Linked DNA regions of Saccharomyces cerevisiae S288C. The protein of the gene in region 2 binds, or shares a complex with, the protein of the main gene of each other region. Each region holds a gene or a part of one and is shown on either strand. Other genes may lie near its edges. The genes, in order: DBF4 and MCM4. A codon is read from its position in the direction of its gene.

What was found.
Region 1: the proteins of MCM4 (region 2) and DBF4 are in contact, whole or in part, in a cryo-EM structure (PDB 7PT6), measured with the Saccharomyces cerevisiae proteins. Residues at the interface, in NP_015344.1 of Saccharomyces cerevisiae: Leu177 (codon at 3,087), Arg178 (codon at 3,084), Ile179 (codon at 3,081), Ile180 (codon at 3,078), Trp181 (codon at 3,075), Asn184 (codon at 3,066), Ser186 (codon at 3,060), Ile187 (codon at 3,057), Gln188 (codon at 3,054), Thr192 (codon at 3,042), Arg195 (codon at 3,033), Asn196 (codon at 3,030), Met199 (codon at 3,021), Ser200 (codon at 3,018), Lys202 (codon at 3,012), Lys204 (codon at 3,006), Phe205 (codon at 3,003), Glu222 (codon at 2,952), Leu224 (codon at 2,946), Glu267 (codon at 2,817), Ser270 (codon at 2,808), Ile271 (codon at 2,805), Gln274 (codon at 2,796), Lys277 (codon at 2,787), Asp278 (codon at 2,784), Val281 (codon at 2,775), Ser282 (codon at 2,772), Val285 (codon at 2,763), Asp286 (codon at 2,760), Glu297 (codon at 2,727); in NP_010337.3 of Saccharomyces cerevisiae: Asp248 (codon at 2,407), Arg249 (codon at 2,410), Asp250 (codon at 2,413), Thr253 (codon at 2,422), Lys254 (codon at 2,425), Arg255 (codon at 2,428), Asp256 (codon at 2,431), Pro514 (codon at 3,205), Thr515 (codon at 3,208), Arg516 (codon at 3,211), Ala517 (codon at 3,214), Ser518 (codon at 3,217), Val519 (codon at 3,220), Met520 (codon at 3,223), Ser521 (codon at 3,226), Lys522 (codon at 3,229), Asn523 (codon at 3,232), Met524 (codon at 3,235), Leu527 (codon at 3,244), Arg529 (codon at 3,250), Leu530 (codon at 3,253), Met531 (codon at 3,256), Val532 (codon at 3,259), Asp533 (codon at 3,262), Arg534 (codon at 3,265), Leu536 (codon at 3,271), Gly537 (codon at 3,274), Val538 (codon at 3,277), Tyr660 (codon at 3,643), Cys664 (codon at 3,655).

The regions. Positions count from the first base shown.
Region 1 is NC_001136.10:557,698-562,290, reverse strand, and holds DBF4 (protein serine/threonine kinase activating protein DBF4), read left to right. Parts: upstream 1-1,665; coding exon 1,666-3,780; downstream 3,781-4,593. Other genes in the region: SCF E2 ubiquitin-protein ligase catalytic subunit CDC34, read left to right, coding at 1-851; acid phosphatase DET1, read left to right, coding at 4,231-4,593. UniProt on the Saccharomyces cerevisiae protein: Regulatory subunit of the CDC7-DBF4 kinase, also called DBF4-dependent kinase (DDK), which is involved in cell cycle regulation of premitotic and premeiotic chromosome replication and in chromosome segregation.
Region 2 is NC_001148.4:595,081-600,364, reverse strand, and holds MCM4 (MCM DNA helicase complex subunit MCM4), read right to left. Parts: upstream 3,616-5,284; coding exon 814-3,615; downstream 1-813. Other genes in the region: ATP20 (F1F0 ATP synthase subunit g), read right to left, coding at 148-495; RLF2 (Rlf2p), read right to left, coding at 4,069-5,284. UniProt on the Saccharomyces cerevisiae protein: Acts as a component of the MCM2-7 complex (MCM complex) which is the putative replicative helicase essential for 'once per cell cycle' DNA replication initiation and elongation in eukaryotic cells.

The DNA.
Region 1 (4,593 bases), on a different chromosome or scaffold from region 2:
TACGGCAATATAGAGAACTTACTGATCCTAAGAAAGCTATTCCCTCATTTCATATAGAACTAGAGGATGATTCAAATATTTTCACTTGGAACATAGGTGTTATGGTGCTAAATGAGGATTCCATTTATCATGGAGGGTTTTTCAAAGCTCAAATGAGATTTCCGGAAGACTTTCCCTTTTCTCCACCACAGTTTCGATTTACGCCGGCTATCTACCATCCAAACGTTTACAGGGATGGCAGGCTTTGTATTTCTATTTTACATCAAAGTGGGGATCCTATGACCGACGAACCTGATGCTGAAACGTGGTCCCCCGTGCAGACCGTGGAAAGTGTGTTGATCTCTATAGTATCTCTATTAGAGGACCCCAATATCAACTCGCCAGCAAATGTCGATGCCGCTGTTGATTACAGAAAGAACCCTGAACAATACAAGCAAAGAGTCAAAATGGAAGTGGAAAGATCGAAACAAGATATCCCTAAAGGTTTCATAATGCCCACTTCTGAATCGGCGTACATATCTCAAAGTAAACTAGATGAACCAGAATCGAATAAGGATATGGCGGATAATTTTTGGTATGATAGTGATTTGGACGACGATGAGAACGGGTCCGTCATTTTACAAGACGACGACTACGACGATGGAAACAACCATATCCCCTTTGAAGATGATGACGTTTACAACTATAACGACAACGACGACGATGACGAAAGAATCGAATTCGAAGATGATGACGATGATGACGACGATAGTATAGATAACGACAGCGTCATGGATAGGAAACAACCCCACAAGGCTGAAGATGAAAGTGAAGATGTGGAGGATGTAGAAAGAGTTTCAAAGAAAATATAAAAAAGAACAGTAAGAAAGAAGACAAAATTTAACAAAACATATTCAGCTCAAACGCAAAACATGAATCAATTTATACATACGCGATACGTTGTCGATAAAGCACTTTACATTTTTCCCTATGATAATCTGAGATTGACAGGGGAAGAAGAAAATAACTAAGTGTCGAAGAAAAATTTAGAAAAATTAATTCATCATCCCATTTTACTTCTCGCAGTACACCGTACGAAAGAAGAAGGTAAAGAATTGAGAAAAAAAGTGTATATCATTACATTACTTTACACCACCTTATAACCACAAACGTGTATATTAAGAAAGTTTTTTAAAAAGAAAGAAATAAGAAAACCAAATCCGTCCCACTAATAGTTTCTAAGTTACTGTACTTTTTTTTTTTGAATATATATCACCATACATATGTATATAAATATATATTTGTGTGTGTGTGTTTATATCTATATCTCTTTGCATCTAATTCCTCATTACCTTTTTTATTTTTATTTTCTTATCGGTTCTTGGCTAACGCCTAAGTTTCTTTTAATATTTTACCCGCAGTAAGTAAATGGTTTTTTTTTTGCAAACGCGTCTTAGGTCGATCTTTGCGAAAAAGAAAAAAATAAAGAAATAACGATAATAATAACGGTAATGGCTCAGGCCAAGAAAAACAAAAATCAAGTTGCATAGTCTATACTCAGCCAGGTGTAGATTCCTTTAGATCTGAATTCGCTTGCAGGGCTAGTTATCTTCAGAATTCAAGGTTTGAATCTGAAAGGCATTTGGAATTCTGCTTTTGGTTCATATTTAGAAAAGAAAGAAGAAAATGGTTTCTCCAACGAAAATGATAATAAGGTCTCCGTTAAAGGAAACAGATACCAACTTGAAACATAATAATGGAATTGCCGCATCAACAACAGCAGCGGGCCACTTGAATGTGTTTTCTAACGACAATAATTGCAACAATAACAATACCACTGAATCCTTTCCGAAGAAAAGATCTCTTGAGCGCCTCGAGCTCCAACAGCAGCAGCATTTGCATGAAAAGAAAAGGGCCAGAATAGAAAGGGCCAGGTCTATTGAAGGCGCTGTCCAAGTCAGCAAAGGTACGGGTCTGAAAAATGTCGAGCCAAGGGTTACGCCTAAGGAATTGCTGGAATGGCAAACAAATTGGAAAAAGATAATGAAAAGAGATTCTCGCATTTACTTTGACATTACTGATGATGTAGAGATGAATACATATAATAAGTCCAAGATGGACAAACGCAGAGATTTATTGAAAAGAGGGTTTCTTACATTGGGTGCGCAAATAACTCAATTTTTTGACACTACTGTCACAATAGTTATCACAAGAAGGTCTGTTGAGAACATATATTTACTAAAAGATACCGACATTTTATCGAGAGCTAAAAAAAACTACATGAAAGTTTGGAGTTACGAAAAGGCTGCCAGATTTCTGAAAAATCTTGATGTTGATTTGGATCATTTGAGCAAGACTAAATCTGCTTCTTTAGCTGCGCCCACATTGTCCAATCTTCTACACAATGAAAAATTATATGGACCAACGGATAGAGACCCCAGAACTAAAAGAGACGATATTCACTACTTTAAATATCCTCATGTATACCTTTATGACCTATGGCAAACTTGGGCCCCCATAATAACTTTGGAATGGAAACCTCAAGAACTAACAAACTTAGACGAACTACCTTACCCAATATTGAAAATAGGTTCATTCGGAAGATGCCCTTTTATAGGGGATAGGAATTATGACGAAAGTTCTTATAAGCGCGTAGTAAAGAGATACTCGAGAGACAAAGCAAACAAAAAATATGCACTGCAACTTCGTGCTCTATTTCAATATCATGCCGACACCTTACTGAATACGTCATCAGTTAATGATCAAACGAAAAACCTAATATTCATACCTCACACATGCAACGATTCTACCAAGAGCTTCAAAAAATGGATGCAAGAAAAGGCAAAAAATTTTGAGAAGACCGAGTTAAAGAAGACGGATGATAGCGCAGTTCAAGATGTTCGTAATGAACATGCTGACCAAACCGATGAAAAAAATAGTATATTATTAAATGAAACTGAAACCAAAGAGCCTCCGTTGAAAGAAGAAAAAGAAAATAAACAATCTATAGCAGAAGAATCGAATAAGTACCCACAGCGAAAAGAGCTGGCTGCCACACCAAAACTAAACCATCCAGTATTAGCTACTTTTGCAAGGCAAGAAACTGAAGAAGTGCCGGATGATTTGTGCACTTTGAAAACAAAGTCACGTCAGGCATTTGAAATCAAAGCAAGTGGTGCACATCAATCTAATGATGTGGCAACCTCTTTTGGCAATGGTTTGGGCCCAACAAGAGCAAGCGTCATGAGTAAGAACATGAAGTCATTAAGTAGACTAATGGTTGATAGAAAGCTGGGAGTAAAGCAGACAAATGGAAATAACAAAAATTATACAGCCACTATAGCAACTACTGCTGAAACATCAAAGGAAAATAGACACAGATTAGATTTTAATGCTTTGAAAAAAGACGAAGCCCCTTCGAAAGAGACGGGCAAAGATAGTGCTGTACACTTAGAAACTAATAGAAAGCCCCAGAATTTCCCTAAGGTAGCTACCAAATCAGTCTCCGCAGACTCCAAAGTTCATAATGACATCAAGATAACAACCACAGAATCTCCAACAGCATCGAAGAAATCAACTTCCACAAACGTCACCTTACATTTTAACGCACAGACAGCACAGACAGCACAGCCGGTGAAGAAAGAAACGGTAAAAAATTCCGGATACTGTGAAAATTGTCGTGTAAAATACGAATCTTTAGAACAACACATAGTTTCTGAGAAGCATTTGTCTTTCGCTGAAAACGATTTAAATTTTGAGGCTATTGACTCGTTAATTGAAAATCTCAGATTTCAAATATAGGGACACGACGTAAAGTGCAGTAGCTTTTAGTGATAAAATCAAAATAGTATTGTTCCGTTTCCATTGCTGCTCGGAACAAAAAAGCTATCAACGGCAATGTTATTGAATCACTTTCTCATTCACCCTTGTTACTTTCTTGCTATTGACTTAACTCTTATTTACTCGTCCATATATTATCAATTGCATATATATACATATACATATATATATTATCATCTAGATTAATTACCGTTCATATCATAACTCATTCTGAACAAATAATGATCGAGTACCCACCGCGGTTAATGTCCCAGTTTTCATTTTTACCCGATATCCTGCAGAGACCGAGAGGCATGAAAAAAAAAAAGCTAGTTCTCAACTGCATTAATTGCAGCTCGTATTCATGGTTCAACATAAAAGAACTTACGCTACAGCATTCCATTTGAATAACTCAGAGTATTAGTAAAAGAAATGTGTGAAGAGAATGTTCATGTTAGTGAAGATGTTGCTGGCAGTCACGGTTCTTTTACGAATGCCAGACCTAGGTTAATTGTACTAATAAGGCATGGGGAAAGCGAATCAAATAAAAACAAGGAGGTCAATGGTTATATTCCTAACCATCTGATTTCTTTAACGAAAACAGGTCAAATCCAAGCTAGACAAGCTGGTATTGACTTATTACGTGTTTTAAACGTAGACGATCACAACTTGGTGGAGGATTTGGCTAAGAAGTATATTAAAGATGAAAGTAGCAGGAGAACTTTACCGCTGAAGGACTATACCAGGCTGAGTAGAGAAAAAGACACAAACATAGTTTTTTATACATCACCCTAT
Region 2 (5,284 bases):
TTTTAATGCCATTGTATGTCATGAAAAGAAAATAAATAGAATTGAGATGAATATATATTCTTTTTTCTAGTTTTGTTCTATTTGTACATTGATTTAATTTAATTAACGAATATACAAGGGTTTTGCGAATAGATAGAATTAAAAAGCTTAGTGATGTTTATATCCCACTAATTTTCTTCTTCCAATTATTTCACCGACAGAATAAAACCCTATCAACTGAATACCATATGCGCCATATTTTAATAGTTCATTCTTTTGGATGTTTTTTAAACACGATAAAACTTCTGTAGGCTTTAGAGCAAAGTTTAGGCTCTGCTTATAAAGGTTCGAATACACTGATTTGAACTGGGCAACAGTTGGTGGTTGAAGACCCTCTTTTAAATAAATCTGTTTTGAAATCTCGGCACCGACTTTACCATAGTATAAAGCCTTTGATGACAAAAGATTTGCTTTAGAAACCAACCCACTGGTATAATTTTGGATCCTGCTTAGCATGATGAATTGATTAGCGTTCTGAAATATGATTTATCGGCAGGTTTATCTTGTCGATTTGGACTGGAGTAGAAAATATGAGGGATCTTTGCATCTTCATTTTTCGGTCTTTAAATGTAATCATCCTTCGGGATAAATTTAGTGCGTTTAACAATATTTTCTTTCAGCCAATCAGGAATAAGAAAAAAGCCGCCCACTCAATCGAGCCTACATACAGTATTGAATAGTGTTACAAAGCATAAGGATGTAAAAAATACAAACTTGCTATAATTAATTAGTATTTATTAATTGTTACGCAGGGAATGATTGTAGTAGACAGCATCAGACACGGTTATTCAGGCGAACTGATCTCCTTACACCCTCGCCAAGGACAATGACCTTGTCCTCTTGTTGCAATCTTGACAAGGCTTCCTGGATATCAGAAGACTCAACTCTATCTTGAGAGTGTTCATTGATTTGTTTTATAAGCTCATTGAATGACATTGAGTCTGATGCCTGATCCTTCAAAACATTCATAATTTCCCTTGACAAATCCTCCTGTAGTTTTCTCTGAATAACTGATTTACCTGTTTGAACTAAATTCATGTCGATTTTACCGGTTTTAGGGTCTGTTGCATAATCTTTTATGGCTGATCTAATTAATCTAACGGCTTCTTGAACATCCTCCAGCTCTACGACGTTTTTCAATTTCATTTTGGCGTGCGCCTCAGCCAAACGAATCATACTTTCAAGTTGTCTTGTGGTAGCTGTGATTCTCTTCTCATCGGATCTCGAATCGTCACCCATCTTTCTCATTCCTACATAAGCACGAACAAGCTCAGTCTTAGCGGCCTCGGTGATTATTGGGTGTATGTGCTCCTTTGCATAACTAATATACATCGTTAAAAATTCAACTGGTAGCACGTCGTCTTGAGAAATATGTTCGGGCTTATCTTCCAGGTAAAGATTTGTTAAGTGTTTGGCTAGTTCTCTGTCATTTTTCTCATCAACCTTATCAAGGACAAGATAGACCAGATCGAATCTCGAAAGTAGTGGGGGCGGTAGATCAATATTTTCAGTCACAGGCAAATTGGGGTTGTAGCGTGAACCAATTGGGTTAGCACTGGCCAAAATAGAACTTCTGGCATTAAGTGTTGTGATAATTCCCGCTTTTGCGATTGAAATAGTCTGCTGTTCCATGACTTCGTGCAAGACGGACCTTGTAGAATCACTCATTTTATCAAACTCGTCAATACAACAAACACCTCCATCAGACAATACTAATGCACCACTTTCCAAAACAAGTTGTTTTGTGTCGACATCCCTTGTAATATAAGCAGTTAAACCAACGGCAGATGAACCTTTACCCGAAGTATACACACCACGAGGAGTAATTTTGTGAACGTATTGCAAAATTTGCGATTTGGAAGTAGAAGGATCCCCACAAAGTAAAATATTTATGTCACCTCTATAACGGCCACCCTTGGTAAAGGTTTTATTCGTGCCGCCAAATAGCTGAAGTAATATACCCTTCTTGACATCTTCTAGCTCGTAAATACTTGGGGCAATAGAGCGGGCTAATAAACTGTATAAATCTTCTCTTGCCGCAACCTCGCGAATTTTTGCTAAATCCTGATCAGTAATTTGTCTTACTTCTTCGACCTCGTTATGATCTACCTTGTTCTGCATTAATTCTTGTTCAATAGTAGAAGTATCGACGTCTAACCTCTTATCTGAAACTTTTTTAACGTGGACCACATCGACGTATGTTTTATACAACGACTTTAGTACGCGTTGCCTGGAATTAGCTCTAATGGGGATGGACCTGAACGTGCCAGTCACCTCAATACGATCGCCCGCCCTGCAAGAATCCACTAATTCATCGTAAACACATAATGAGATAGAGTGAGGCGTTTGTCCATCAGGCACAAAGTCTGGAGTTTCCTGTAACTTAATGACTTGTTTATCTGCGAATGAACACCTGTTGTGAATCAGTGACATGGAATTGGGTTCATTACAATCAATACGTTCACACCTAGCGGGCTCTTGTATAACTCCTCTATCAATTTCCACTGCCATTGTATGATCGCAGACGTTGCATTTGAAAAACGCTACCTTCATATCAGGGATAACCGGAGTTGATCTCAGGACAAGACCCTTTAAGTTTATCAATTTATCAATATCATTTGGATTCAATTCGCGCATACCTTTACAAGAACCTACATTGTAAGGCCTTACTTTATAAAACTTGGTCTCTATTTCATCTAAATCGTAATCCAAATTGTTGTCTACTATTAAGGAAACCATACAGTCCTTGATAGTTTGATCCATGATAGAAATCACTTCTTGAGGATAATTTAATAGTTGATGGTATAAGTCTTCTGTTTGCTTGTAAGCAAGTAAGTTTCTAGCATCCAAGTTTAAATTAGAGGTACCAAGTTCTCTCATTTCATTAAGCTGCTTGATATAGTATAGTTCTTCGTCGGTAGTATTGTTAATGAATTCCTCCCTTTCATCCAATATTTTACGGAATTTATACTTGAAAGACATCAAAAAATTACGAAAATTAGTTGTACATTCCTGGATACTGACGTTGGTACCCCAAATTATTCTCAAGGGTTCACTGGCTTCCGATGGAGGAGCAGAAGAAGAAGAAGTATCCAAAGTATTCACGCCGGATCTAGTATCAAAATCCACAATTCTTCTTGGAGAGGATAAATCAGATGTATGAATATCATTTCTTCGCATGTGTACACGGTTTTGACCATTACGGCCTAAAGAAGAGGAAGAAGTAGGCAGTGCTCTATCACTTCTCAGATCAGAATGATATCTAGACCTTCCAGAAGCGCTCGCAGAAGAACGAATTCTGCCCTGTCTGCCTTGAGATTGGAAAACATCGGAATTTTGTCTTTGGGAAGAAGATGGAAAATTTAGTGGAGAAGAACCTATAGCAGCTCTGATGTTTCCCTCTCCCTGACTTAAGTTCTGGCTATTGTTGCGACCATAGATATCACCTTGTGATGAAGAGGAGCTATAAAATAGAGCTGGGGAAGAAAGCTGTGGTGGAACAGAATCAGGATTAGGCACAACGGGGGAGCTGGAGTTATTATCCTCTTTTGTTGGAGAGCTAGACTGTTGAGACATTTTAAGTTCTTGAGGTTCAAAAGGATCCTAAGTTGGGCTCTACCAAGAGTAAAAATAACTGAAGATGGGTTGTCTTATTTAGTATTGAAGATGTTCTTAAAGAAATAAACAGTGCCAATGCGAAGTTGCTCTTCTGGTCTCTTCTTCTCTTTTCATTTTCGAGGCGGCGAACTAGCATTAAATTTCCCGAAAGAGTAAACCAAGTGTTTGCGTTTTCATGAATCTACTCGTAATATTCCAAAAAGAAGTGATATAAAACATGCAGTTGGCTGACACAGATAAATGTAGTTCAGCTTATATAGAAGATTTTCTTTTGTTGCATGCGAGAAGTGCTGGATTTTATTCAAAGTCCAAAAGGCTTGACTGTCGATCGTAGTGTTGTCGCCTTTTTCATGTATACCAATAAATAATCAGTTTATCTGTATGTTTCTATATACTAAAGATCCGTTCAAGTTACAAAGACGGGGTTGGCATATTTGCATTGGCTCGAAGATTCTCCCAGTTTTGTGCGTCTTTGATTACCCATTTGCGGGGCAAATCACCCTTTCCAGAACTTCTTATGGCATATTCCTTTATGGTGTTTTTAATTGTTTGTTTGTTGTATTGCGGCAAATTTTTCTGTGCTATTTCAGTCACAGTACCCAAAGAAAACGTGCTGTCTTGAACCCCATCAAAAAGTCGAAGTAAGTCCATGGGGTCTGTAATCATTGCTTTTTGTTTCTTTTCGGGACTTTGAGATTGGCTAGCGGTCTGTGCCTGTAAGTCGGAATTACTTCTTTTGGATGGTAGAGACGATGTTTTGGGTTCTTTGAATGGATCGATTGGCCCGTCGGTTTCTATGATAACTTCGGCCTTGAGTTGTTGTAAGTATCGTTTATTTTCCTCTGATAAGTTTTCAAAATTGGATTTTAGGCATATTGTTGGTATCAATGGGCCTACAAATTTTCTCTTGGCGCAGGGTAGGCCATCCAAATCACTGTTTTCTTCGCTGTCTAGAAACCCGTCAAACTCTCCTTCGCTAGGTACGTCTTCATCATCTTCCTCCTCCTCCTCCTCTTCACCACTTTCTAAGTTATCGACTTCGCCTTCTTCTTCTTCATTAACCCATTCAACGTCAGAATCGTAATCATAATTGAATCCAGTACCTTTCGTAGAAAAGGGATCGTTTGGTGGCAAAGTAAAGTCCATAGAATAGGTTCCGATAAACGGAGGTCTAACATTTTCGTAGAATTTTATATATTTGTGCGGAACTTGTGCAAGTAAAGATTGGAGCTCATCGTCTGTTTTCTCCTTCAAAGGCATTTGCTGTAGAACGTCAACAGCTTTACGTTTAATTTTATGTCCTCTAGGTAATCTTCTAGACTGTAACCAATTCAATAAGTCGTCACTACTTGTTTTATCTTTACTGTTCAGTAATTCATCATCTATTTTTCTTTTGCTACCTTCCAGCTCCACTTTTGTTAGTTTCCACTTATTACTGACTCTAACTCCATCTTTAGCATAGAAAGGTAGAAAAAATTTTTCATAATCCGACTTTTCAACCACAGGCGTATTAGAATCGCTTAGTTTTTTAAAGAAGTTACCAATACGGGATTGTGCTCTTTCCTTGGCTTCTTCTTTCAAACGTATTTCCTCCTCCTTTTTCAATCTTTCCTCCTCTTTTCTTCTT